Linked DNA regions of Macaca fascicularis. Each later gene encodes a partner of the first gene's protein in a complex. Links are inferred from orthologs where the notes say so. Each region holds a gene or a part of one and is shown in the gene's direction. Other genes may lie near its edges. The genes, in order: CWC22, PLRG1, EIF4A3, CWC27, CRIPT and SNRNP40.

Evidence for each region.
Region 2: CWC22 (region 1) and PLRG1 share a complex: the UniProt entries of both Homo sapiens proteins name them as parts of the minor spliceosome. The link is inferred for Macaca fascicularis from reciprocal best matches to the Homo sapiens genes CWC22 and PLRG1.
Region 3: the proteins of CWC22 (region 1) and EIF4A3 are in contact, whole or in part, in a crystal structure (PDB 4C9B), measured with the Homo sapiens proteins. The link is inferred for Macaca fascicularis from reciprocal best matches to the Homo sapiens genes CWC22 and EIF4A3. Residues at the interface, in NP_001362958.1 of Homo sapiens: Thr129, Gly130, Gly131, Ala132, Tyr133, Pro135, Pro136, Ala137, Lys138, Arg140, Lys164, Asn167, Gly168, Ile170, Asn171, Lys172, Val173, Asn174, Ser176, Asn177, Ile180, Ile181, Glu184, Ala207, Ser208, Ile210, Phe211, Tyr215, Lys330, Arg331; in NP_055555.1 of Homo sapiens: Met43, Gly44, Ile72, Ile73, Lys74, Gly75, Gln98, Cys99, Met183, Gln213, Val256, Ala257, Glu259, Trp263, Asp266, Thr267, Asp270, Leu271, Tyr272, Asp273, Thr274, Leu275, Thr276, Ile277, Thr278, Gln279, Ala300, Asn301, Phe302, Thr303.
Region 4: the proteins of CWC22 (region 1) and CWC27 are in contact, whole or in part, in a crystal structure (PDB 6YVH), measured with the Homo sapiens proteins. The link is inferred for Macaca fascicularis from reciprocal best matches to the Homo sapiens genes CWC22 and CWC27. Residues at the interface, in NP_001362958.1 of Homo sapiens: Leu239, Arg242, Lys243, Tyr245, Arg246, Asn248, Asp249, Lys250, His270, Glu271, Val272, Leu275, Glu276, Thr279, Leu280, Leu281, Glu283, Arg284, Thr286, Asp288, Ser289, Val292, Val307, Ser308, Pro309, Arg310, Gly311, Thr367, Met369, Leu372; in NP_005860.2 of Homo sapiens: Arg381, Glu382, Asp383, Gln384, Thr385, Leu386, Leu388, Leu389, Phe392, Lys393, Lys395, Leu396, Thr397, Ile400, Glu412, Asp415, Asp416, Glu417, Gly418, Trp419, Met420, Ser421, His422, Val423, Leu424, Gln425, Phe426.
Region 5: CWC22 (region 1) and CRIPT share a complex: the UniProt entries of both Homo sapiens proteins name them as parts of the minor spliceosome. The link is inferred for Macaca fascicularis from reciprocal best matches to the Homo sapiens genes CWC22 and CRIPT.
Region 6: CWC22 (region 1) and SNRNP40 share a complex: the UniProt entries of both Homo sapiens proteins name them as parts of the minor spliceosome. The link is inferred for Macaca fascicularis from reciprocal best matches to the Homo sapiens genes CWC22 and SNRNP40.

The regions. Positions count from the first base shown.
Region 1 is NC_088386.1:75,511,567-75,515,066, reverse strand, and holds part of CWC22 (pre-mRNA-splicing factor CWC22 homolog), read left to right. Parts: intron 1-267; coding exon 268-345; intron 346-940; coding exon 941-1,093; intron 1,094-2,721; coding exon 2,722-2,849; intron 2,850-3,500. UniProt on the Homo sapiens protein: Required for pre-mRNA splicing as component of the spliceosome. As a component of the minor spliceosome, involved in the splicing of U12-type introns in pre-mRNAs. Promotes exon-junction complex (EJC) assembly.
Region 2 is NC_088379.1:159,465,751-159,469,832, reverse strand, and holds the start of PLRG1 (pleiotropic regulator 1), read left to right. Parts: upstream 1-1,282; 5' UTR 1,283-1,368; coding exon 1,369-1,377; intron 1,378-2,751; coding exon 2,752-2,858; intron 2,859-3,141; exon of another isoform or gene 3,142-3,213; intron 3,214-3,837; coding exon 3,838-3,980; intron 3,981-4,082. UniProt on the Homo sapiens protein: Involved in pre-mRNA splicing as component of the spliceosome. Component of the PRP19-CDC5L complex that forms an integral part of the spliceosome and is required for activating pre-mRNA splicing.
Region 3 is NC_088390.1:86,553,680-86,557,833, reverse strand, and holds the start of EIF4A3 (eukaryotic initiation factor 4A-III), read left to right. Parts: upstream 1-1,354; 5' UTR 1,355-1,436; coding exon 1,437-1,605; intron 1,606-4,154. UniProt on the Homo sapiens protein: ATP-dependent RNA helicase. Involved in pre-mRNA splicing as component of the spliceosome. Core component of the splicing-dependent multiprotein exon junction complex (EJC) deposited at splice junctions on mRNAs.
Region 4 is NC_088380.1:70,438,320-70,442,450, forward strand, and holds the start of CWC27 (spliceosome-associated protein CWC27 homolog), read left to right. Parts: upstream 1-1,331; 5' UTR 1,332-1,546; coding exon 1,547-1,588; intron 1,589-4,131. UniProt on the Homo sapiens protein: As part of the spliceosome, plays a role in pre-mRNA splicing. Probable inactive PPIase with no peptidyl-prolyl cis-trans isomerase activity. As a component of the minor spliceosome, involved in the splicing of U12-type introns in pre-mRNAs.
Region 5 is NC_088387.1:75,424,960-75,429,123, reverse strand, and holds the start of CRIPT (cysteine-rich PDZ-binding protein), read left to right. Parts: upstream 1-1,364; 5' UTR 1,365-1,451; coding exon 1,452-1,467; intron 1,468-2,934; coding exon 2,935-3,000; intron 3,001-3,793; coding exon 3,794-3,848; intron 3,849-4,164. UniProt on the Homo sapiens protein: As a component of the minor spliceosome, involved in the splicing of U12-type introns in pre-mRNAs. Involved in the cytoskeletal anchoring of DLG4 in excitatory synapses.
Region 6 is NC_088375.1:203,728,177-203,731,676, forward strand, and holds part of SNRNP40 (U5 small nuclear ribonucleoprotein 40 kDa protein), read left to right. Parts: intron 1-2,456; coding exon 2,457-2,579; intron 2,580-3,500. UniProt on the Homo sapiens protein: Required for pre-mRNA splicing as component of the activated spliceosome. Component of the U5 small nuclear ribonucleoprotein (snRNP) complex and the U4/U6-U5 tri-snRNP complex, building blocks of the spliceosome.

The DNA.
Region 1 (3,500 bases):
GGTTCATACTTATCATGAATTTAGAATTTTATAATTAATATAATTAGTATAATGACTGTGGAAGCATAAATGACTGTCAGCCGGACCCAAGGCTTTAAAAAATTATGAGTTTAACATAGATTGAGGTTTTTATTTTATTTACAAAGTTTTTGAAGTGTTTTAAACCCTTATTTAAAAATGCAGGCAGTCACTATCATACTAGTAAATTATATAATATTTAGTCTCTTTGTGTTTTGAATCATTAATGTATTTTTTTTTCCCAAATAGAAAGAACTCTGCAACATGATACTTGATTGCTGTGCCCAACAGAGGACATATGAAAAATTTTTTGGCTTATTAGCTGGGGTGAGTTCCAGCATCTACTAAGGGAATTCTTAAAACAAATATTGTAAATTAATTATTTCTGCTTTATGGTCTGGCCTCATATAACAACATATTACCATTTTTGCTAAAAGCAAATTATTCTCTCCTTCCTCAGGTTTCCCGCTGTCTTCACCTTCCTCTTTTTCTGCTTCATTTCTGCAGTCCTTTAACTTTGCATATCACTTTTCCAGAACTTTTTGGAATTTTCCATGCTTTGTAACAATTTCCCAATAGAGAACAATTAAATACTGTCTTTTCAAAATCTCAGAGCAGTTTCTAAAGTCAAGTACATGTTCAGGCAGCTCAATTAAAGCATGATCTACAATATTTCTTTAAGCTCTACCCACATGTGATCAGCTATATGTATGATTTTGTTTTAACATGTAAATCTCAGATAATTATAAACCATGTATATTAACTTCTTTTTTGAGCATCAAATGGCACAAAAGGATTTAGTGATATATGCTCTTTGAAAATATAAAACATATTAAGTTTTGATTCAGTAAATTTAGGATTTAATATGCTCATAATTGTATTAACATTCAATTTTTAATGGTACTGATTTTTTATTTATTAGCGATTTTGCATGCTGAAGAAAGAGTACATGGAATCCTTTGAAAGTATATTCAAAGAACAGTATGATACCATCCATCGCCTGGAAACAAACAAATTGAGAAATGTTGCTAAGATGTTTGCTCACCTTTTATACACCGATTCACTTCCATGGAGTGTAAGTACATGGGTCAATATTTATACTTCCTTCCTAATTCCCTATTATTCTCAAATAGATTTTGGTATAAGCTAGCTATATTTATCCTATTATGAAATGTGCTTTAAAATGAAATGTGTAGAACTGCTGTCTTTAAGATTATCTTCATGTAATAAGGAATCAGAAAGCTAGGTAAGTAATACACGAGAAATACTGTCTTTGTATTATATTAACTGTCCAAACATGCCAGTGTTTCAATATGATGGCTAGGAGTGTCTTCAGGAAAAATACTGCAGATTTTCGTGTTCTCTTTGTACACACACATGCACGCACACTCACATCCACATATGCCACTATTTTGGTGGTAAATGTGTCTCTGAATTACTCTCCCTTGATTCCTAAGGGAATAACTCTCCGTGGATCCTCTTGTTGGGTTTAAGAAAAATGATTGTCTTAGAAAGATTCGTTCTTTTTAGCAGACATTGAAGTTGGGTAAGCTATAGAGAGGATATCCTATAGTCATAGAAGAAAGAAAGATACATTCTTGATGGGGAAATGTGCACTGGATTGAAATTTAGAATGCTTTCATTAAGTTGGCATTTATTTTACAGCTGTTATTCAACCACTGTTAGTTAGCCACCACTTATATACTGAGTCATTGAGAGAGGTGCTGGGTATTCAAAGTGAATTATACATGGCCCCTTCTTTCAGGAGGGTTACTGTGTAAGATCAGAAGTAAGATATGCCCATAGCAATGATACAAAATAAAAAGTCTTAGATTCTAAGAAAAGCAAAATTGCTAAAGGAATAGAAAGAAAGAAAGAGAAGAGAAGAGGAGAGGAGAAATTACATCCAGGAGGCAGGAGGAAAGAACAGGATTATCTTGTAGAATGCCATCCTACTAATGGTAGAATGCCATCGTACTAATGGTAGAATGAAGCAATATCTCAAACTTATAAACATTGGTTAGATTTTTATAGTACTTTTAAGTACCAAGTATGTCCAGCTGCATTAATAGGCATTTGTAATCTAACCTAGGAGACTAATTGTAATAATTTTTGACTTCTTTTTTCCCCTCTTTGAGAAAATGAAATGAGAATTTTAAACAATTAACTAATGGGCCCCCCGAACACATAACCCATAAAAACTGGAGGTTACTTTTATTTTTATTTGCCCTAAAAATATTTCTTTAGGCATTTCAGTTTTTAAGCCACAGTCTTAATATTCAGAATAAACCATCATACTTTGTCTTTTTTTTTAATCATATGTGTGGTAAACAAAATTGTAGTCTAATGTGCTAAGTGGCATTTTGCCCCAAACCCTCATATACACCACATTTTGATGAGTAAGGTATAGGAGCTAGTAATCTTTACCATTATATGCTCAAGAGAGGATATCTTCCCTGCTATAAAAAGCACATTACTCAAAACAGAGAATGAAATCTATTTCTGTAGCATCTTAACATTTTGAAAGTTAGTATAGAGAAGTTTTAAACTTTGTATCAGCATTAAGGGGAGATATTCAGAGATAACTCTGGTTGAAGATGGGAATAAATAGTAATTTTGAGAAACAAACCTACAAATATTGGTCACTCTGTCCTGTCTTTTATAAATTTAAATATACTTGTCTTTTTAAACTTTAATTTTCAGGTTCTTGAATGTATAAAACTGAGTGAAGAAACCACTACATCATCCAGTAGAATTTTTGTCAAAATATTTTTCCAGGAACTGTGTGAATACATGGGTCTTCCTAAACTTAATGCAAGATTAAAGGATGAGTAAGTTTGCCATTAAGCACTTTTTATTCTTACTGACCTCTGGTTTTCTCTCATTGTAGCAGATATAAGCCCATCCAAGATTGTAAAAACAAGTACTAAGCCCCCTAGGACATTAATCACTATGAATCTCATGTTATGTCTCACAGGACAACGTGCAACTTTTAATGGTGGTTTTTAGTTTAAATGGAGTTCAAATTAATGCCTTTTTAAATTTTCTTAGAAAATACAGAATTATTTTTGTATGCTCACTTGAATTCTCCAGTGATATTTATAATTTTATTTTCTTTTTACCCTAATTTTAAGCCTTAGAATGATAACTAATATTATCAGTGGACAATTTTGAATATATATTTCATCTATTAATAATTTTTCAAGTCTATTGCATGGAACTAGAGCCTTATTTCAGGACTATTATGTAATCCTCTCTCACCTTTCTTATTTCCTATTTATTCAGATTGCCACTTAGATTGACTTCTACTCCATTGACACTACTGAAATCATCTTTTCAGATTTCTCAGTGACCACCTGTCATATTCAGTTGTCTTTCTCAGGCCGCATGCCTCTTTACTTCTGTGCCTCACTTACGCAGTTGACCACCTGCTCACTGTGGCTCCACACTTCTTCTCACTTCCTCTCTCAGTCTCCTCTTCA
Region 2 (4,082 bases), on another chromosome or scaffold:
CCATGCCTGTAATTCCTGCACTTTGGGAGGCCGAGAGGGGCAGATCACCTGAGGTCAGGAGTTTAAGACCAGCCTGGCCAACATGGTGAAACCCCGTCTCTACTAAAAATACAAAAATTAGCCGGGCGTGGTGGCGGGCGCCTGTAATCCCAGCTACTCCGGAGGCTGAGGCAGGAGACTCGCTTGAACCCAGGAGGAGGAGGTTGCAGTGAGCCAAGATTGCGCCATGGCCCTCCAGCCTGGGCGACAAGAACAAAACTCCCTCTCAAACAAACAAAAAACCATGACCTTAATGTTTTTAATGAATTTCCAAGTGACGTTGATTTACACTGCTATTCTTTTGCTAGATTGTTTCCCCCTCTCAAAGTGTATGCAGTACGCTGTCAGGACAGATCAGTGAAACTGAAACAGGGCCAGTAAAATGTTTTGTCTATTTAAGTTTGCAAATGCCCAAGTCCATCCATTTTTCTTTTTACATAGAAAAATAATTAGGTAGGGTTGATCAAAACCGGAGATTTTACCAGGGTAGGAAGCAAAAATACCAATACTTGGCACAAGGATATGTATAAATAAAAATGGCTAAAGTCTCCAATTGTGTCTTTCTTCTACCAGCTTTGAAAAGCTGTACCCTGGCATTGTTGAAGCCACAATAATCAGCAGACAACTAGGAAATGTCCAAGAGCTATGTAGCGTTGAGAAGTTAAAAAAAAAAAAATCTATTAGCAGAAAATGAATATGGGTTTTTCTTATATCTACATGTCAAAATTTTCCAAATTAAAACAGCCATTCCTCAACATTCACTCAGCAAGTGTTTACTGAACTGTTTAAGCGAAATTGTTTTCAGGTGTTAAGCCTACAAGTGTCCAAGTGCTTCTCGCCAGGATTGGAACCAGGAGACAGAAAGCAAGCAGGCGACCTCCAAAGAGATCAAGGCAGCGGAAGCGCCTTAGATAGAGCCCACGGGAGTTTGCTCTCCAGAGAGCTTAGGCTCTCTGAATAAAAAGCATTAAACTCCGGGGAATACAGCATGAACAACCAGGGCCCCAGCCAAGACATTGAAGGCTGAAGGTAAGGCAGAAAACATAATTCGAAGACTTCTTCAGAGGAGCGAGTGAAATCCTCCAGTCAGGCGCTTCCAGGTGTCTCCCCTCTACAGCCTCGAGCCTCCGCCCTAGGGGCGGTCCTGAGGAGGGAGACCCGCCTCTTGATCCCAGAGGGCCGGGGGAGACTAGCGCGCGTGCGCAGAGCTTGCATCACATCCGCCGCCTGGCCTCCCAATTCCGGAAGGTGCAGCACAGTTGTGGCGGCGGGTACTGCGTTAGTGATTAGGGTTTCTTCTCTGCCGGAGGTGGGATACGCGGTAGCATCATGGTCGAGGTAAAGTGACACTGGGACTCTCAAGAGTCGTTTGTCTCTGGACTGTTTTTCTTTGGCAGTGGGCTTGGGGGATTGAGAGTGCTTGGAGTCCGGAGAGAAAAGAGGCTACGAGGGAAGCTGTTTGGCCAAGGCCGGGTGGTCTCTTCATCGGGTTTTCGGGGAAGGGGTAGAAGCCGGATGAGAACCCGAGTCGGAGGTTCAGTCCGGGCGCTAAGCCTGAGATAATTCGTCCAGTCCTCGTTTGACTCTTGGGAGCTGGAAACTGTCCTTGGAGGCGGGGCCTCTGTTGGTGTTCGACCACTGGTACTCGCCGCCCTCGGGGCAGTGTCAGTGATTCTGTGCCCGAAAAGATTGGCGGTCTTCTCTATCTTGCGTTCAAGTCGTCTCTTATTTCAACTCTACTCCCAGAAAAACTTGCCATTCTTTACATCTTTCCCTGGCATGAACAGCCAGCCATTCTGTTAGCTGGTCTTGTCCATGTTACCCCACATGTTTATTGATTCCATTCACTTTTCTCCGTATCCACTGCAGTCCACCTTAATTGAGACCAACATCATCTTTCACCGGGCCTGGTGCATTAGCCCCCCGTTGATTTCCTTGCTTCCATTTTGTTCCATAAGTTGTTCTGTTTAAAATGTAAGTTGTTCATACCTTTCTTGTTTAAAACCCTTTACTGACTGTGTTGCTAGAAGAAAACATAGGCTGTTGTAATAGTCTAAAATACCTTACCTAATCTGGACCTTGTCTACCCTTGCAACCACAAAGCACCATCTCATCCACCATATACAGCTGTGCCGCCCTTCTTGTATTATTTCAGTTAACTGAACATTTTTTTACATGACATTTCCATCAGCCTGGTTCGTTTTTATCTCTGTTTTGTGCAAGGCTAACTCCCTTTCTGCTTAAATATCACTTTAGTGAAGTCTTTCACAATTATACTTAGTCCTTCGTTTCCCGACCCAGTGCCTTGCTTGTTGCCCTCATAGCACTTATCAAAATGTGGAATTATTTTACTTTTTATTTGTCTGTTTCCTCTTGAGCACAGGGACCATGACTACCTTTTATCATTCTATTGTGAGATTCTAGCACGATACCTGCCAGACACACAGTAGGAGCTCAGTAAATATTTATTGAGTAAATGACTAAACTATGGCATCACTCAGTTGCTATACCTGAGGTTCTAGCCAAAGAGGAGCTTCCTCCTCTTCTCTGAACTTGACTCCTGTAGCTCGCAACAAGTAGCTATGGTGAGTGGTATAAAGCTTTTTACATATTTAAACATGTGAAGTGTATAATCAATCTGACGTTAGGTTATGATTTGTGTAATTTGTAGATAGGTGTGTAATTACTTTTTTTTTTTTTTTTTTTTTTAAGGAGGTACAGAAACATTCTGTACACACACTTGTGTTCAGGTCATTGAAGAGGACCCATGACATGTTTGTAGCTGATAATGGAAAACCTGTGCCTTTAGATGAAGAGAGGTTGGTATAGTTTTTTTTTCAATTGCTGAAATATTTAACATTCTAATACTGGGGGAAGAGAGCAGGAAGAGGGAGACCTTTAAAGATAAACTGGCAATACTCATGGGCTAATTCAATAATGAGTGGTGTTTTGGCATAATTTAAGCTGATTTAACTTTTTTTTTTTTTGGCCTTTTACAGTAAAAGTTCCATTAATTAATTGCATTTTACAAATACCCAGTAATTAAGAGAGTCCCTTTTAGGTATTTTATTTTATAATCAATCACTTTGTATGTGCTTTCAGCTTCCCGCTGCTCTCAGAGCCTTGCTGAGCTGAAATTGTACCTGGCCAGTACCTCTACTCCCATCTTTTCTCGTTAGTATGATGAAGATTTTTGAGTGGTGGCATATTTTTGGTTCTACATATCCAGCTCCAGTCTGGGATTGCATTATGTGCAGTGTTCCTTCTTTGTCCTTTACCCTTTTAAAATCGACTTAACTCCTCAAACAAGCATTTATATTTAATTTGTAAAGTAGACTATTTTTAAAAGTAATATAAGTGCATTTCTTTTTAAAATATTGAACCAATTAAGTACTTTTCTTAGTTCTAACTAACCTGTTTGGATACATCTAGTAAAGGTTGCTGTAGAGTTTTTACTATATTTATATTTTGAAGGAAAGCGTATTGACTTTGAGGTTTCTTAAAGGGTATGTTAGTTTCTATATATCTTTCAAGCAGACCCTTGATAATTTATCATAAAATATTTTCTATTAGGTAACAAACTAAAATATTACTTAGGTTTAATGAATGCTGTGTGGTGGAATGTGAGCAAAAGAACAGATATGGTGGGGAAATGCACTTGGAAATTTTTGATTCTTTTAAATACTACTTAAAATCTTACTAGAAACTTTTCCTACATGATTGGGCAAACTTAAGCTGTCTAAGTGTTTGTTTTAAAGTATTTATGGATACGTTCTTATGTTTATAATTTCTAAATAGTCACAAACGGAAGATGGCAATCAAGCTTCGTAATGAGTATGGTCCTGTGTTGCATATGCCTACTTTGAAAGAAAATCTTAAAGAGAAGGGTCCTCAGAATGCAACGGATTCATATGTTCATAAACAGTACCCTGCCAATCAAGGTGAGTATGGTATTATCAGAAATGTCAGACGTATGTGTGAATTTTAAAAATAGAAAAATAAAATGTGTTATTTTTGCCCCTGCTGGCAGGACTTAGGTGTGG
Region 3 (4,154 bases), on another chromosome or scaffold:
ACTTTTCCCACAGTTAAAAACATGATTCTCAACAGCGTGAACTGCCCTTCAAAGATGATGGAGCTGCTTCAAAGTGCATTAGAGGAGCTGGGTATGTAGAAGCACTTCAAGTGTCAGATAAGAAAGTGGTTAGGACTGTGCGTAGCAGCGGCACCTGTGGTCCCAGGTACTCTGGAGGCTGAGGCGGGAGGATCGCCTGGGCTTGGGAGGTGGAGGCTGCAGTGAACGGAGATCGTGCCATAGCACTCCAACCTGGGCGACAGAGCCAGGCTCTGTCTCAAAACAAATGAACTAAAAGCAGGTTAAGATGCGCAACTGGTTACCGTTCTGCTGGGCAATTACATGATCCCGTCTGGGTTATCTTTGCTGCAGGACACGCATTATTAACACCGTCTAGACAGGAGGCTTTCATTAAGAGTAAATTGCAGGCTCTGCGTGTATTTTACTTTATAACAGCTGCTTGCCGGGCACAGTGGCTCATGTCTGTAATCCCAGCACCTTGGGAGGCCAGGGCGGGCGGATCACCTGAGGTTCAGGAGTTCAAGACCAGCTTGGACAACCCTAACCCCCACCCTTCCCCCAACACCGTCTCTACAAAAAATTTAAAAAAATTAGTCGGACATCATGGCGCGCGCCTGAGGTCCCAGCTACTCTAGAGGCGGAGGCAACAGTGAGCCCTGATCCCACCGCCGCACTCCAGCCTGGGCGACAAAGAGAGACCCTGTCTCCAACTGACCAGGCAAACGGCGAAAACACACACAGGCGCGTCCCCAAAGACACCGGCATTAGAGGCCCTGGCCCTCCCCAGCGCAGACCCGCCCGAGCCCAGCGCCGCGCCGGCGCCCACCACCGGGGGCCGTGAGGGTTTCCACCCGAATCTCCCCGGCGAGCTGGGCGCCCCCACTACGGGTCCGCGACGCAGTCCACCCAATGCGGGCCCGAGAGAGGACCCGTGTTCGTCCTCTTCATTCGAGGCGGGGCTGTGTGGCGACGCCACCCGGACTGGAGGCCCCTGGCGGCCCCCAGCCTGTTGTCAGGGGATTCAGGGCCGCACGCCGCTCAAAGAGCCTTAGCGTCCCAAACTGCCGCAACCGCCACAAAACGCCACCAACTCTGGAAATCCACCCGCTTCCGTACCTTTTATAAGGAACTGGGTGCCCCGCCCTCAACGAGATCCCGCGAGAACTGCATATGGCGCGAGAGCAGAAACATCTTACTTTTTCCTGCGGCAAACGCCCAGTTCCCTTTCAAGTGACGAAGAGTGCCCCGCCCCAGAGGCGGGGTCGCCTCGCGCGCACGTACGCACGCACATACGCACGTACGCACGTCTTACGCTTTCTCACGCTAAGGCGTCAGTTCTCGGCCCCGGCAGCGAGAAGAGTCGGGAGGTGGTTTACGCTGTGGCGCGCGCTGTGCTCTTCCGCGGACTCTAAATCATGGCGACCACGGCCACGATGGCGACCTCGGGCTCGGCGCGAAAGCGTCTGCTCAAAGAGGAAGACATGACCAAAGTGGAATTCGAGACCAGCGAGGAGGTGGATGTGACCCCCACGTTCGACACCATGGGCCTGCGGGAGGACCTACTGCGGGGCATCTACGCTTACGGTGAGTGGGCGCGGGCCGCGGGGGCCAGCTGGCGGCGAGCCGGGGGCTGAGAGCCCGACTGGTGACTCCCGGGCCGGCCCTGCACTCCGGAGGTCGTGGTCAGGGTCGAGGCTCGGGGGCCAGTGACGTGCGCCCCCCCCCCCACCCCTGCCCTCACGCCTGGCTGTGTCGGCGCGTTCGCTGTGTGTCCCCTGTGCAGAGCTCGGCGCTGGGTCCGTCGGGGGCTACAGCCGCTTCGAGGCACCTCGGAGTCGTTCATTCAGCAGATAACTGTTTTGTACCTACTAACTTTTCTAGTTACTGGGGTTTTGGCGGTAAACCAGATGGGTTTGCGCCTTTACGGGTTTTGAATTTCCTTTGGGGGGACAGCATGCGGTCAGATTGCCCAGGCAGTGGTTGTTGCTGGGAAGAACCCGAAGCTAGGTAATTGAATAGAGTGGGCCTGGGAAGGAGGAGATAATTAGTAAAGCAGAGAGGTAAGGGGGTTCGCAGGAGGGGTTGCCATTTGAGCAGAGGTATGGATGAAGGAGACTTTTAGGAGAGGAGGGAAGAGCAGTTGGGGCAGAAGGAACAGCTGGTGCCAGGGCTTTGCAGCCCTTAGCCAGCTGCATTCCAGGAACTGAAAGAAGTCCCCTGTGGTGGGATTTTGGAGAGCTAGTCAGGGGCCAGATTTAGCAAAGACGTGTAGGGGTGACGAATAATTTGAATTTCATTTGGAAATCTAGTGGGAAGCCACTGGAATGTAGTAAGTAGCTATGTGACACGATCACATTTACAGCTTTAAAGATTCTTCTGGGTGTCTGTGAATTTCAGGTGAGGCGAGGCAGGGCAGGAGAGGAAACAGAAGAGTTGGGAAGCTTTTGCTCCAGTTAAGGGAAGAGAGGATTGTGCTGCCTTGGAGATGGAGTGCCAGGGAACTGACAGCATTGGCTGATGGATTGACTGTGAGTGACAGGAGGAGGAGGGTTGGTGTTTTGAGTAACCAGTGGTTGATGCTGCAAACATGTGGCTAGGTAGGCAGCACTCCAGAGAGTCAGAATCAGGAGTTGTCTCTTGGTATGTTTGAAAGATCTGTGGAAGTTGAGAGAGAGCCTGGAGAAGAGATTGGGTTGGGCACATAGATGGGAATGGCCAGCATCTGGGGTAAATGGCCTGTGTTTAATGCTTGGGACAGGGACATTTTTTATCCTGTAGTTCTCTTTTCTTTCTTTCTGACAGTCCTGCTCTGTCACCAAGGCTGGACTGTAGTGGCATGATCTCGGCTCACTGCAACTTCTGCCTCTGGGGCTCAAGCGATTCCTTTGCCTCAGCCTCCCAAGTAGCCGACCACCATGCCCTACTAGTTTTTGTATTTTTAGTAGGGATGGGATTTTGCCATCTTGCCCAGGCTGGTCTTGAACTCCTGACCTCAGTGGTCTGCCAGCCTCAGCCTCCCAAAGTGATGGGATTACAGGTGTGAGCCACCCCACCTGATCTTATCCTGTAATTCTTGATGCCACAACAGTTTGGACAAAGTGAGGCGAAGGTGCTGAGGATGGGTGGTGAGAAAGCATCTCAGCCAGCCTTCCAGCGAGGCTGACAGCCCCACCTGGTTTCCTGGCACTCAGGCGGTCCCTGCCCTAAGACACTGTTGTTAGTTTCCCATCCATGTGCTTGCTCTTCCTGAAGAGTTTAAATCATCTGCTATATTTGCTTTTGTGTTAAGATGGGAAATTGTGCTACATTTTCTTTTGTTTCTCATTTTTCGCTATGCCCCAGAACTGAACAGAGCTACATTTAAGAGACTACCAAAAAATAACTGAACTAGAGTTTTGTACATAAAGTTTTATTTACTTACTTGAAAAACACATGGTTCTTCTTCAAAATAGCCTCCCCCTTTGGTGTAGTAGTTGCTTTGCAGGAGAGATGGTATGGTAGTTAGTGAGCTGCATCCAGACAGGAGAACAGCGTAGGACACCCCACAGTGTGACCCAAGCAGGTTAAATAGAATTGTAGACCTGTCAGCAACACACAGACTTAATGCTAGCTAGGAGGAGAGAAGAATGGCTACAGTGACTTTCCTGGTTTTTTTTGTTTTTGTTTTTAATTTAAAAAGTAGTATAGGCCGGGCGCGGTGGCTCAAGCCTGTAATCCCAGCACTTTGGGAGGCCGAGACGGGCGGATCACGAGGTCAGGAGATCGAGACCATCCTGGCTAACACGGTGAAACCCCGTCTCTACTAAAAAAATACAAAAAACTAGCCGGGCGCGGTGGCGGGCGCCTGTAGTCCCAACTACTCGGGAGGCTGAGGCAGGAGAATGGCGTGAACCCGGGAGGCGGAGCTTGCAGTGAGCTGAGATCCGGCCACTGCACTCCAGCCTGGGCGGCAGAGCGAGACTCCGTCTCAAAAAAAAAAAAAAAAAAAAAAGTAGTATAGGTTGTTTGTAATCCAGTCAAACCTAAGGAAGTAATTAGAGTAAAAAGTTAGCTGCTTTTCACCCCTCTACTGCAGTAACTGCCAGGAACATTTTGGCACTTATACTTCCAGATGCTGCACACCCAGAAGATTA
Region 4 (4,131 bases), on another chromosome or scaffold:
ATCTGCAGAAAGATGTTCAAAAAGGCTGCCACAGAACAAAGAATCTGGTCAAATAATACTGGGAAGGGCAGGTTTAAACAAAGTTAGGGCTCTGAACCATAGTAATTCTCAGAATCTTTTCTATTACTAAGGCGCACTGTGAATTTCCAAGTTGGGAGGTGGGGTGTAGGAGTGTATATTTCTGAAAATGTCTCCTGCAACCACTGTTCTGCAGTGGCAAAGCCAGTTTGAGGAGACGCTCTCAGCTACTAGAACTTCCAAGTAAGCTGGTAGTTGAGGAGAGAAAATCTTTTAAGTAATTATTCTGCAGAGTTCACCGTTTTTAGGTCAGTAACTTCTGGACACAGAATTTGAGAGTTAGAATAAATCTTATATATAATTCAACAAAGCTCCTTCTTTTTATAAGGAAACTGAGGCCCAGAAGCACAAAACGACCACTCTATGGCCACGGAGCAGCTACATACAACAGGAAGAGCTAGGAGTAGAACCCGGACACCCGGTGGGTCCTAGCGACTTCTAGGACAGACGACGCCTCTGGTTACCTGGGTCGGCCAAGTGTTCCCACTTCAAATTTTAGTTTTAAGCCATACCACAGTTAAGGTAGTTTTTCTTGGCTGCTCGCCCCCTTAGGCCCACAGTTACAGTCTCCCCCTCCTCCCTCCCTTCCACAATACACTTTCCCTGTAATCCCATGCAGCTGGGGCTTGGCTCCTGGGGGAAGACAGTTACTTTCTTTCCTTCAGAGTGTATCTTTGGAGTGTAAACTTTTTCATGTAAACAAAACAAACCTGTGAATTTTAAGGCCTCCGCCTAAGTCCCCATAGGCACTGATCCCCACACCCCGCACCCTACCCTACCCTCCCTTGTGCTCCCTTCGGATCTCGGACGCAGAGGCCCTGTAATTGCTCCTTACCTGGGACTGCCATGACGATGGTAAGGGGTCACTTGAGCCTCCGGCTTTCGAAGTGGCGCTTGCTTCCCGCCAGCTGCGAGAACAAGGCACAGCCAAAGCGCCGTTTTCCTTCCCCCAGCGCAGCAGCACCTTCGCTACGGTGAGGAAGGCCCTTTACGTTTCTAGCGGCAGCAGAACCAGTAGACGCGGATGCAGTTTCCGGACGAGTCATAGTGCAGAAGACACATGGTCCGAACCATTACTGATAGTTTTTTTTGGGGGGGGTCAGTTTGATCTGCACACGCGAGTAGTGTAAACACAGCCAAGACTTATGAAGTGTCCCTTCTAATATTGTAATACAAATTACATTAAGCTATAATAACTTTACAGACTTCTCTCGTTCCCTGGAGTACACTGGAATAACCCTTCTCAGGGTTAGCGGTGCTCGGGTCCGGTAACAACATGGCGGCGTCCGTGAGGGGCTCCTTTAGGCAAGGGTAGTGTTTGGTGTCCCCGTCTTGCGTGATATTGACAAACTGAAGTTTTCCTGCACCACTCGACTTAAGAAAGAGTGTACTCCTAGGCGGACAGCTTTAGTGACCGGCCGTCCGCTCTAATCCCTCATAAGGAGCAGAGTCCTTTGTACTGACCAGGATGAGCAACATCTACATCCAGGAGCCTCCCACGAATGGGAAGGTGAGAGCCTCATCTAGGGAACTTGGGGTCCTGGGATCTCCAAAGTGAGATTTCCCAAATTTGGGGTGGGGGACGGGTTTCGGGATCTCGGGGTAGGAAGAGACCACGATAAGTGTTGTCTTTATTCCTGCATGTGGACAATGTTGCGTCGAAACACTGAAGTTTATACTTTTCAGGACGTACTTGAAAAAGTCAGGTGGAGATTTCTCTACCTACCAGCATTCCGGTCCTGTTTTCTGCTTTAAGCCAGCTCATGCAACCGATTTCTAGAGTCTTAGGTTTTTAAACGTACATTTCTGAGTTTGATATATTCTTTGCTTAACTTTGAGGTCATTCATTCTGCATTTCTTCTGCAATCATTAATTGAACGCCTGCTAGGCACTGGGCACTGTACTAGGCGCCGGAGATACAAAGATGGATGGGTAAGGTAGTTGTTTTCCCGGAAGAGCTTATAGTTTAGTTTGTGAGACAGGTAAACAAAAGCCTGTATGTCTGATAAGCGTGCTTGTGGAGAAGAGACCAGGTTGCTATGGCGGTACTGAGTAGTGAACAACTGGGAAAGTTAGGAAAAACCTCATGGAAAAGGTATCTTTTGAGCTGATTTTAAAACCTGAGATGACTGTCAGTCAGAGAAAGTGGGAAATGGGGACTGTTACCACATTAGAGTGGGGAAAGGTTTCTCTAATTGATTTGATGGCTAATGTATGCCAATTCCCATCCAAGGTGTTTGTGTTGAAGAGTCCGTTGTGGAATAACTGTCACCTGAATTCTTAAATTGAGACCTAGCCTATCTCATATGAAATTTGATGAATCAGCATATTGGAGAAAATGAGATTTAAAGTATATAGTTGAATTAAGATAAGCTAAATTTACACAACATACCATCCTGTTCGTTACATGATTACATCATAAATAATTTATGCAGTCTTTTATTCATTGACATTTGATAATATAATGAGAGCAATTTAAAAGCAAAACCAAAAATGCTGTAATTCCCAGCAAAAATTTAATGGGTATTTTGGGCAGCTCAATTCTTTCAATTCTTTGAACTTCTCCTGGGCATTGTAGGTTACTGGGTCCATCCCACCCCTCACCTATCTTATTTAATATCAATGTGAAAACCCAAAATACCTACCTCCTCCTATTTCCAAATGTTTCTTGAGGGCAGTATCACCCCCAGTTAATAAATACTGGTAGAGATTGAATAGATTTACCATACTGCCAGACAGGGCGTTCACACTTGCTGTTCCTCTGTTTAATCAAGTGTTGACCTTAGCAAAGAGTCCTTTCTTACCTACTTTCTATGAAATAGCAAACTTCAATCATGCCTTGCATCCCAGCATTCTCTGGCCCCCTTAACTTTTTTAGTTTTTTTCCATGGTATTTATTAATTATTTGGTATTACTGTATCCTTCCTCCTACCTTCCCCCTATAGAATGCAAGGAACATCAGGGCAGAGACAAGCATCTAGAACAGTACTTGATACATGATAGAAGGAGTTCAGTTATGTATTGAATAAACGAATGGATGGATGAATTAATACTATATTTTTCTTAGTTTTTTGAGGAATATTAAGCATCAGTGAGTTTGAGGTTACACTGCTGCTGGTCAAGGACAGACTTAATTGCTTTGTTGTAAAGGAAGATTTGACATGGTCACATAGATGAAAAGCTTTAACAAGGATATATTCCTGAATAGATTATTCATTCAACAAATAATGATTGAGCAAATCAATTGCCAGGCTCTATGCTAGGTTTTAGGGATACAACGGAAACAAAAAAAACCACATTGTCTGAGTTATCATGAGTTAATTGAGTGAAGTATACATTGACTGAATAATCATGCAAATAAATGTTTAACTACAAAATGTGATAAATACTGTCTTCTGAACAGAAATGGGCTGAATGATAACACAAGGGCCCAAGTTTTCATCCAAAAACAACTTGGGACTTTTTCCACCATAAGGCTCATCAAAGATATTAAAGCTTCTAAGTTCTGTAAGGTTGAGAGTGTGGACAAAAATTTGGTGTGTAAAGAATTTGAAGCAAATGTAATAAGTCTGTTCAATGAATGTTTATTGCCTTTACTATCTAATGGTACATTAGGTACTGAAAGGGTACAGAGACATTCAGAGTAAATGGGACAAAATTCCTCCCTTCAAAGTGCTTAGTATCAGCTTGGGAAGTAATTGATAATGATACCAGTGCTTGGTCCCTGGTTGTCCATAAATGTTCTGTGTTTTGCTGTAACCCTAGCCCCTGAAGATGAGGCAAAGAAATATAGTACTTGATAGAAATTTTTTAAGCATAAGAGGTAATTCCCTGAAGATGAAATTTCCACATATTATGATCACTTATTCTAAATTGTGTCTGGCATCTTCACTTAGCATAATGTTGCTTTCAAATGATAGGGGTCTGTCTTATTGTTGTACACACTTAGTTTTTAAATGTATTGAAAATCAAAATGGCTTTATAAGTATATTTGCATATATATTTATAAGAAACATGATATTATCAAAGTATTAATTGGGAATTTTAAGAGAA
Region 5 (4,164 bases), on another chromosome or scaffold:
ACAATACACGTATTTAAATTACCTGAGAGTTAATTGTACTGTTAAACAAGGACTTTATTAATTTAAAGTAACAGTCAATATGTTACACTATGGAGAATATTCCAGAAAATAGAAATATCTCAGAAAAAAATACTACACACACACACACACACACACACACACACACACACGTGGGCGCGCGCGCGCGCGGAGGGGCGCCCGCTAGTGTGAAAAGCAGAAGGGCGAACCTGGGCCTTATCCTAATAGCTCTCATTTAATTCACCCAGTGCTTTTCAAAGGCAGATATTTTACTGATAAGGAAACAAGGCAAACAGGTGAGGTGGTCCAAGGTCCCACGCGCTACAGCTCTCTCTCTGGTATAAGGAAATACACTAGGCATGAAGAAGCAAACGGATGGCAAGAAGGGACAATGGTAAACTTTCCCATAGATTCTCTTAAGCTGATTGAGGGAGGGCAAGGGGATCAGGAATCCATTCTCTCAACAGATAGCCCTTCAGCCATTTTTCTGAGCCACCCTCGGAATCGCAGCTGCCATCAGATGTGGATGTAATACAGTGAGCAGTTACCAAACTCAACCGTTTGCTGAGTGAATGAAGGAACCAGAGTAGGCAAAGTGGGAAACCAACTCTCCTGGGAAACCAGCACCGTGTTAGGCCCTGGCGTGCCCCCAGGGCGCCTGCAGGGGTGCCACGGGCATGACGCGGCCCACCTTCCCCAGGCACCGCAGCGGAGAGAAGGCTCTTCAGAGCGGCCCCCAGAGGAGCCTTCACGGGCATCGCCGCACCTCCACCGGCAGCTCCACCCCAACCCTGGTCGCTGGGAATTCTGCCCGACCCTAGGCCGGCGCGAGCGTGGGCAGCGAGGAACCAGCTGAGAAGCAGGATCAAAGAGCTCGGGAGTTGGAGACAAAGAAAAACTGGGGGACAGAGGCAAAAACTCGGATCCGAAAGGGGGTCTGTCCATCAGGGCACGCCGGAAGAGTGGCGCTCGAGCTGACGGCGAGAGCTGGCGGGCCGGGGCGCCGAGGCTCAGGGCTGCTTCGGCAATTCGCGGGGGTGACTTGCACCCCGGGAGGCGAGAGCGCCTGGGAAGTCCAGCGAGGCTTACCTAACTTTCCCGCCCGCGGAAGGGAAGCGGGGAACTACTGCCTCCCACCATCAGGTACGACAGGAGGCCCAGGCCCACGCGCAGACGCAGGGTTGTGGGGCGGACACCCACGGCCGAACAGCCAGTCGCAGAAAGGGAGGGGCGGGCAAATGGGGCAGCCCCACCTAGCCGCTCGCGTTCATTCCTCCCGCGGCTTTCCAGGTTTGGGGTAGGCGGGAGCGGTGGGCTTAGAAGCCGGAAGTGGATTGACGTAGCCCGGAAGGGGAATACTTCCCAGTTACAGTGTTGATGTTTTCAGGCTCCTGCTGCTCCTGTTGCGGCTAGGGGAACTGTCGTGGGGAAGGATGGTGTGCGAAAAATGTGAGTTAAGGGGCTGCTTCTGCGGGAGGAGGAGGCTGGGATAATCTAACTGAGCCCTCCCGGGAACTTTGCCTTCTCTTTGTTTTTTTCGCCCACAGGTCTCTGATTCTAGCCGCTGTCTTTCTACCCTACCCTTTGACCATTTTTGCACCTCCCCAACGACCATACAGTCCTATGTATTTTGTACTCAGAATGGTCTCAGTTCTGCACCTCCCTCTCTATTTCCATTGCCTTCCCCCAGCCCCAGATCTCATCGGCTCCCCTCCCATATAAAAATGTTCAGTTAAACCCCAGCGACACCTTTCCCTCTTGGCAATTCCTGTCCTTTCCTTTTTATTCGTGTAACAAGTATTGTACTCCTGCCAAATGTTAGACACTGGAACCAAAGACTTAGGACTTTGCCTTATTCATTCTCATTAGTCATTATGCCAGGATATGGCGTAGAGTAAACCCAGAGATGTTTGAATTGAACATCAACGTAAGTGCAAATTATTATTTCCCTAATTTAAATCCTTTAATAAACTCTCAGTGTGCAGAGAATAATTTGGGGATTCTATATTTGGAACCTGACGTTCAGTACCCTCCACACTAAGGCGCTAACTTATTTTTCCAGCTTCATTTTCACTGACCCTCATCCTCTTCACACTTTGACCAAACAAAATACTCTTTGTGCCCATGTGTACTCTAAGCTTTCTATGCCTTTCCTCAGAATGTGTCCTTTATCTAGTTTGCGTTCATCCTCTTTACTCCTTTTTGTTCACAGTCCTGTTGCCACATATTCAAATCCTCTCTCTTGCCTTCTCTCCAAACTTTGTTTTCTTGGATTTCCTTAGCCAGGGTTATTTTTTCCTGCCTGGAATTTCTCCTAGTACTTTAGTTCTCAATTATTATATCTTTTATTTTTTAGCTTACATTTTGGTTGAATGGTTCTTTTTGGGGAGACGGTCTGTGATCCCTCTGAGAATCTGATGAAAACTGTAGCCTCTTGCCAGGAAAAAAAACTGAAAATATAAAAGGTTTGTGTACAACTCCACCTTGTTCACATATCTCTTAAGATCCACCTGGGGAACCCAGGTTACAGATTGCTGTTAAAGAAATTAGTATACTATAATCTCATTAAAATTTTGTCTGATTCATCACTTTTTCTCAGCACTTTCTATAGTTTATACATCATAGATGCTTAGTAAATATTTATGGAACAAATAGACTTATTGGATTTTTTAAAAGTATAAACAAACAGTGAAAGCTTATTATAAGCCATCTTATTATCCTGCGAATTTTACCGACGGTCAGTCATTCATTGCCCACAGTTAATATGAGTCTCAGTTGACTGGCTGCTTTCTCAGCATTAACAGGCTCCTATGGTAATAGCATTGATAGTCGATACCATTGTGAGCCTTAGGCACAATGTAATGCACTTATGAAATAGTAAATTTTAATTTTCCTTTTACTATCTTGTTCTAACAGGTGAAAAGAAACTTGGTACTGTTATCACTCCAGATACATGGAAAGATGGTGCTAGGAATACCACAGGTATTTCTTCTTTTAGAAAATAGGAATTTAACCAAATACTTACTGTGAATTATATTTTAGCTTTTACATTATTTGTACAATGAAATGTTGTATGTTCAAAGTATTTTATCTATTAAATATTAAAGAATACTGGGTCCCCAAGTGATTTAATATCTTTTATTTAGTTCTCAGTTACTTGTATGGGTTCCCAATATCAGGAGATAGCAAAATTATTAAATGATTGTCAAGTGGTGACAATATCACAGTATTTGATTATCACAATATTTGATTTGATTCAGCTTATTTAGAGTCTGTTTTTAATTTCCCCACTCTTCTGAGGAGAAATTTTTTTAAATCTTCTGATTTTTATATTCTTGAATAAATAAATGCTTTAACCCATTTTACCTTCATTATCATTAAATCTTTATAATGAAGTATTTACCTTCATTATTATTAAATACATATAGTAAAGTATGTTTTCAAAGCGTAGACAAATAAACATTTTCATTATATTGAAGGTCTATGACACTGAAGTAGTGGCTTCTAGATTTTACACTATATAGAGTAAATATAGACCCATTCCTAAAGTACTCCCTTGAGTCTGAGAAATAAAATGATTGTATTTTATACAAATTTTTACTGTTTCCCTAATAAATGTTTTCTTTTTAAGCAGTGTCTTAATAGCCTACTAAATGAGGATTTAAAAATTAGATACAGACTACTATTTTGGTAGAAAGTCAAAGAATGAACTTCTTAATGTTTTATGTTAAATGTATAGAAATAACCCACTAAAATATCTTTTATTCTGATACAGAAAGTGGTGGGAGAAAGCTGAATGAAAATAAAGCTTTGACTTCAAAAAAAGCAAGGTGGGTAAGAGCATCCATAGACAGATCATATAAATTTCCTTTCTTTTAGTATTAAGTCTGCTGGAGTGAATTTGATGTGCATCATTCCATTTGCAATAAAACATAAAGGTAGGTGGTTCATAGCACTCAGAACCAAGCTATCTGTTACAATCCTGCTGGTTTTACCTTATTCCTCCTTGGCTGTATCAATATATGAAGATATTAGTGTTATTCTCTTACAGTTTCACCAGAAAACATGACTTGTATTTTATCTCCTTCTTAATTATCCTATGAATCAGAGACAGCAGGGAAATGTGGAAAGATGGTAAGCTTTGGA
Region 6 (3,500 bases), on another chromosome or scaffold:
GCTGGGATTACAGGTGTGAGCTGTCACACCTGGCCTGTTTAGTGAATTTTTGAACTAATTTTGTAAAGTTTGTATTCTTTGTCCTGTGTTACCACTGAATTCTTTTTTTTTGTTAGCTTAGTGGTCAGCTAGTGAATGACAGAAGTTTCCTAAATTACCTACAACAACAAGAACAAAAGCTCTCCCAGTCTTTGCAGATTGTCTTTTGGTATGTTGGAGCCTGCCTTCAACTCCTTGCTGTGCAGTTTACATCTCTCCTTAGCTTTCACTTCCTGCTTGTGCAGAGCCTGAAGGTCAACCAGAGAGCTTATGGCCTTCTCAGATCTTTTCTAAGTATGTGCCCAGCCCTGGACATGCAAGTGGTCTAGATTGCCAGGGATGGGCCAGGCATGGTGGCTCATGCCTGTAATCTTAGCACTTTGGGAGGGCGAGGCAGACAGATCACTTGAGGCCAGGAGTGTGAGACCAGCCTGGTCAACATGGCGAAACCCTGTCTCTACTAAAAATACAAAAATTAGCTGGGTATAGTGGCACGCGCCTATAATCCCACCTACTCGGGAGGCTGAGACAGGAGAATTGCTTGAGCCTGTGAGGTGGAGGTTGCAGTGAGCCGAGATCGCACCACTGCACTCCGGCCTGGGTGACAGAGGGAGACTCTGTAGGTAGGTAGGTAGGTAGGTAGATAGATAGATAGATAGGTAGGTAGGTAGGTAGGTAGGTAGGTAGGTAGGTAGGTAGGTAGATAGATAGATAGATAGATAGATAGATAGATAGATAGATAGATAGATAAGATAAGATAGATAGATAAGATAGATAGCCAGGAATATGTCAGTGCTTTTCAAAACTCTTACTCCCCAAATTGTCTCCTTCCCCAGCCCTTCCTCCCAAGGTTTTTGGTTTGTATTTTTGCCCCAACTGTTTTTCCTTGCCCCCAGGCACCAGAGGCTAATAATATCCTTTCCTTTAAATGTTTTCTTTTTTTTTTTTTTTTTTTTTTTTTTTTTTTGAGACGGAGTCTTGCTCTGTCACCCAGGCTGGAGTGCTGTGGCCGGATCTCAGCTCACTGCAAGCTCCGCCTCCCGGGTTCCCGCCATTCTCCTGCCTCAGCCTCCCGAGTAGCTGGGACTACAGGCGCCCGCCACCTCGCCCGGCTAGTTTTTTTTTTTTTTTTTTTTTTTTGTATTTTTTAGTAGAGATGGGGTTTCACCGTGTTAGTCAGGATGGTCTCGATCTCCTGACCTCGTGATCCGCCCGTCTCGGCCTCCCAAAGTGCTGGGATTACAGGCTTGAGCCACCGCGCCCGGCCTAAATGTTTTCAAGGAAAGTTCCAAGTTAGACAAAATAAATGTAAGTCCTGGCCGGGCGCGGTGGCTCACGCCTGTAATCCCAGCACTTTGGGAGGCCGAGACAGGCGGATCACGAGGTCTGGAGATCGAGACCATCTTGGCTAACACGGTGAAACCCCGTCTCTACTAAAAGTACAAAAAACCAGCCGGGCGAGGTGGCGGGTGCCTGTAGTCCCAGCTACTCGGGAGGCTGAGGCAGGAGAATGGCGTAAACCCAGGAGGCGGAGCTTGTAGTGAGCCGAGTTGGCGCCACTGCACTCCAGCCTGGGCGACAGAGCAAAGACTCCGTCTCAAAAAAATAAATAAATAAATAAATAAATGTAAGTCCTTTGAGCTTATCCTTCAGGGAGCCACCAGACAAGTAAAAATAAACAATTTTTATTGTTTATTCTTTGACAATAAGAAATAGGCCCCCCTTTGCTTCCTCAGTACTAGGAAACCATACTGGGAATATGGGTTATCTTCAAAGCTGTTGCTGAGCGGGAGACAGAGCCAGCACAAGTTAAAACACTACAAAACCCTTTTACTGGGACTCAGGGGTTTTTTTGTTTCCTTTTTCCTCATTAAGGGTTTGCCTGGTTACTATAAACTTTTGATTAGTTATGAGAGTTCCGACAGTTGATTCTGACAGGTTTTTGCTGGTTCATTTGTTGTTTTGTGGAAGGACAAGCTTTTGTCATTGTTTATTATACTATTTTCACTGACGTACCCGCTCTCTATTTTTTTAAATGTGGGTTGCAGCCCACTAATGAATTAGTATCTACAGTTTGAAAAAATTGTCTGATATCCTTGTTGTCCTAAAAAATATATGAACCAAGTAATTAGTGGAATTCCATTCTAAGAGTATGTTGATTTAACTCTGTTTATTCACTTTAACAAAGAAGTCTGAAAATATAACTGAAGTTTTGTTTCACCAGCCTTCAAATGTCTTAGCAAAATTGAGGACACTGCTTACCATGTGTGTTATTAGGATATCCAGGAGTTAGTGAAATGGGATCCCAATTATAGATGTGTTCATGTTCACAAAGTCCTTGTACTTAGGGATATTTGTACTGTGCAGTTACTTCTTAGAATGATATTAATGATAGACCCTGTTGTCCTTTGCTTCAGCTTTGGGACATCCGGAAGAAAGCAGCCATCCAGACATTTCAGAACACGTACCAGGTGTTAGCTGTGACCTTCAATGACACAAGTGATCAGATTATTTCTGGTGGAATAGACAATGATATCAAGGTATGTTTGATGTTTATGATATATTTCCATTTCACCCATCTGCACTTAGAAACAAATTTTTTCAAACTTCTGAAATTGTGGTAGCTTTGCACTTAATACCAACTGAAAGGAAAATAGTAATTTGGAACTTATTTTCTTTTTCTCCTGTCTTCATTGACTTCCTAAATTAAAGGTTGCACTGCAGATCTTATAAATGCTGTCAGGGACCAGGCACTTAATGTGAAGTGTGAAGTCTCTGTAGGGGGACTATGTAAAAAATAAAGAGTGCATTTCCTTTTAAAGACATTCAGAATCTTTTTTTAACCATCTTAGTTTAATGGGAGCAGTGAATCAGTTTGTGATTCTGTATCCTCATCTCTCACTGTGTTTTTCTTTTTGACACTATGGAAAGGGAGTTTTCTAAGTTTCTCTAAGAATGAGAGAAGGTAATGATATTAAAGAGGCAATAGACCATATGGCAGTACAGTGTAGCTCAAACTTTCAAGTAATTGACTTGAGTTCTAATCCCAGTTTCACCATTTTCTAGTTTTGTGACTTCAACACCTTCTTTAAGCCTCTTTTTCTTGTGTGAATGCTGAGGGGGTAGTGATAACAAAAACTACCACATGGCATCTACCACATACCATTGTAGCGATTAAATGAGCCTGATTAGAGCACTTAGCAGAATTCCTGGACATAACAAGTGCCAGGAAATGTGTTATTTTGGTCCTGCACGGCTTCTGTCTTCCTTTCCTATTGGCTTCCTTGGGGATCTTAACGACTTTGACCTTACCTTCTGCTTTATAGTGAGAATAGTAACTGTCAGATAAATACTCAACTTTCTGTGTTGTCCTTTCCTAGAAGTTGTACTGTATTTCCATCCCTCGTTGTTTCCTTTGCTGTTACTTTGGATGAAATATCCTTGCTTTTGGCCAGGTGCGG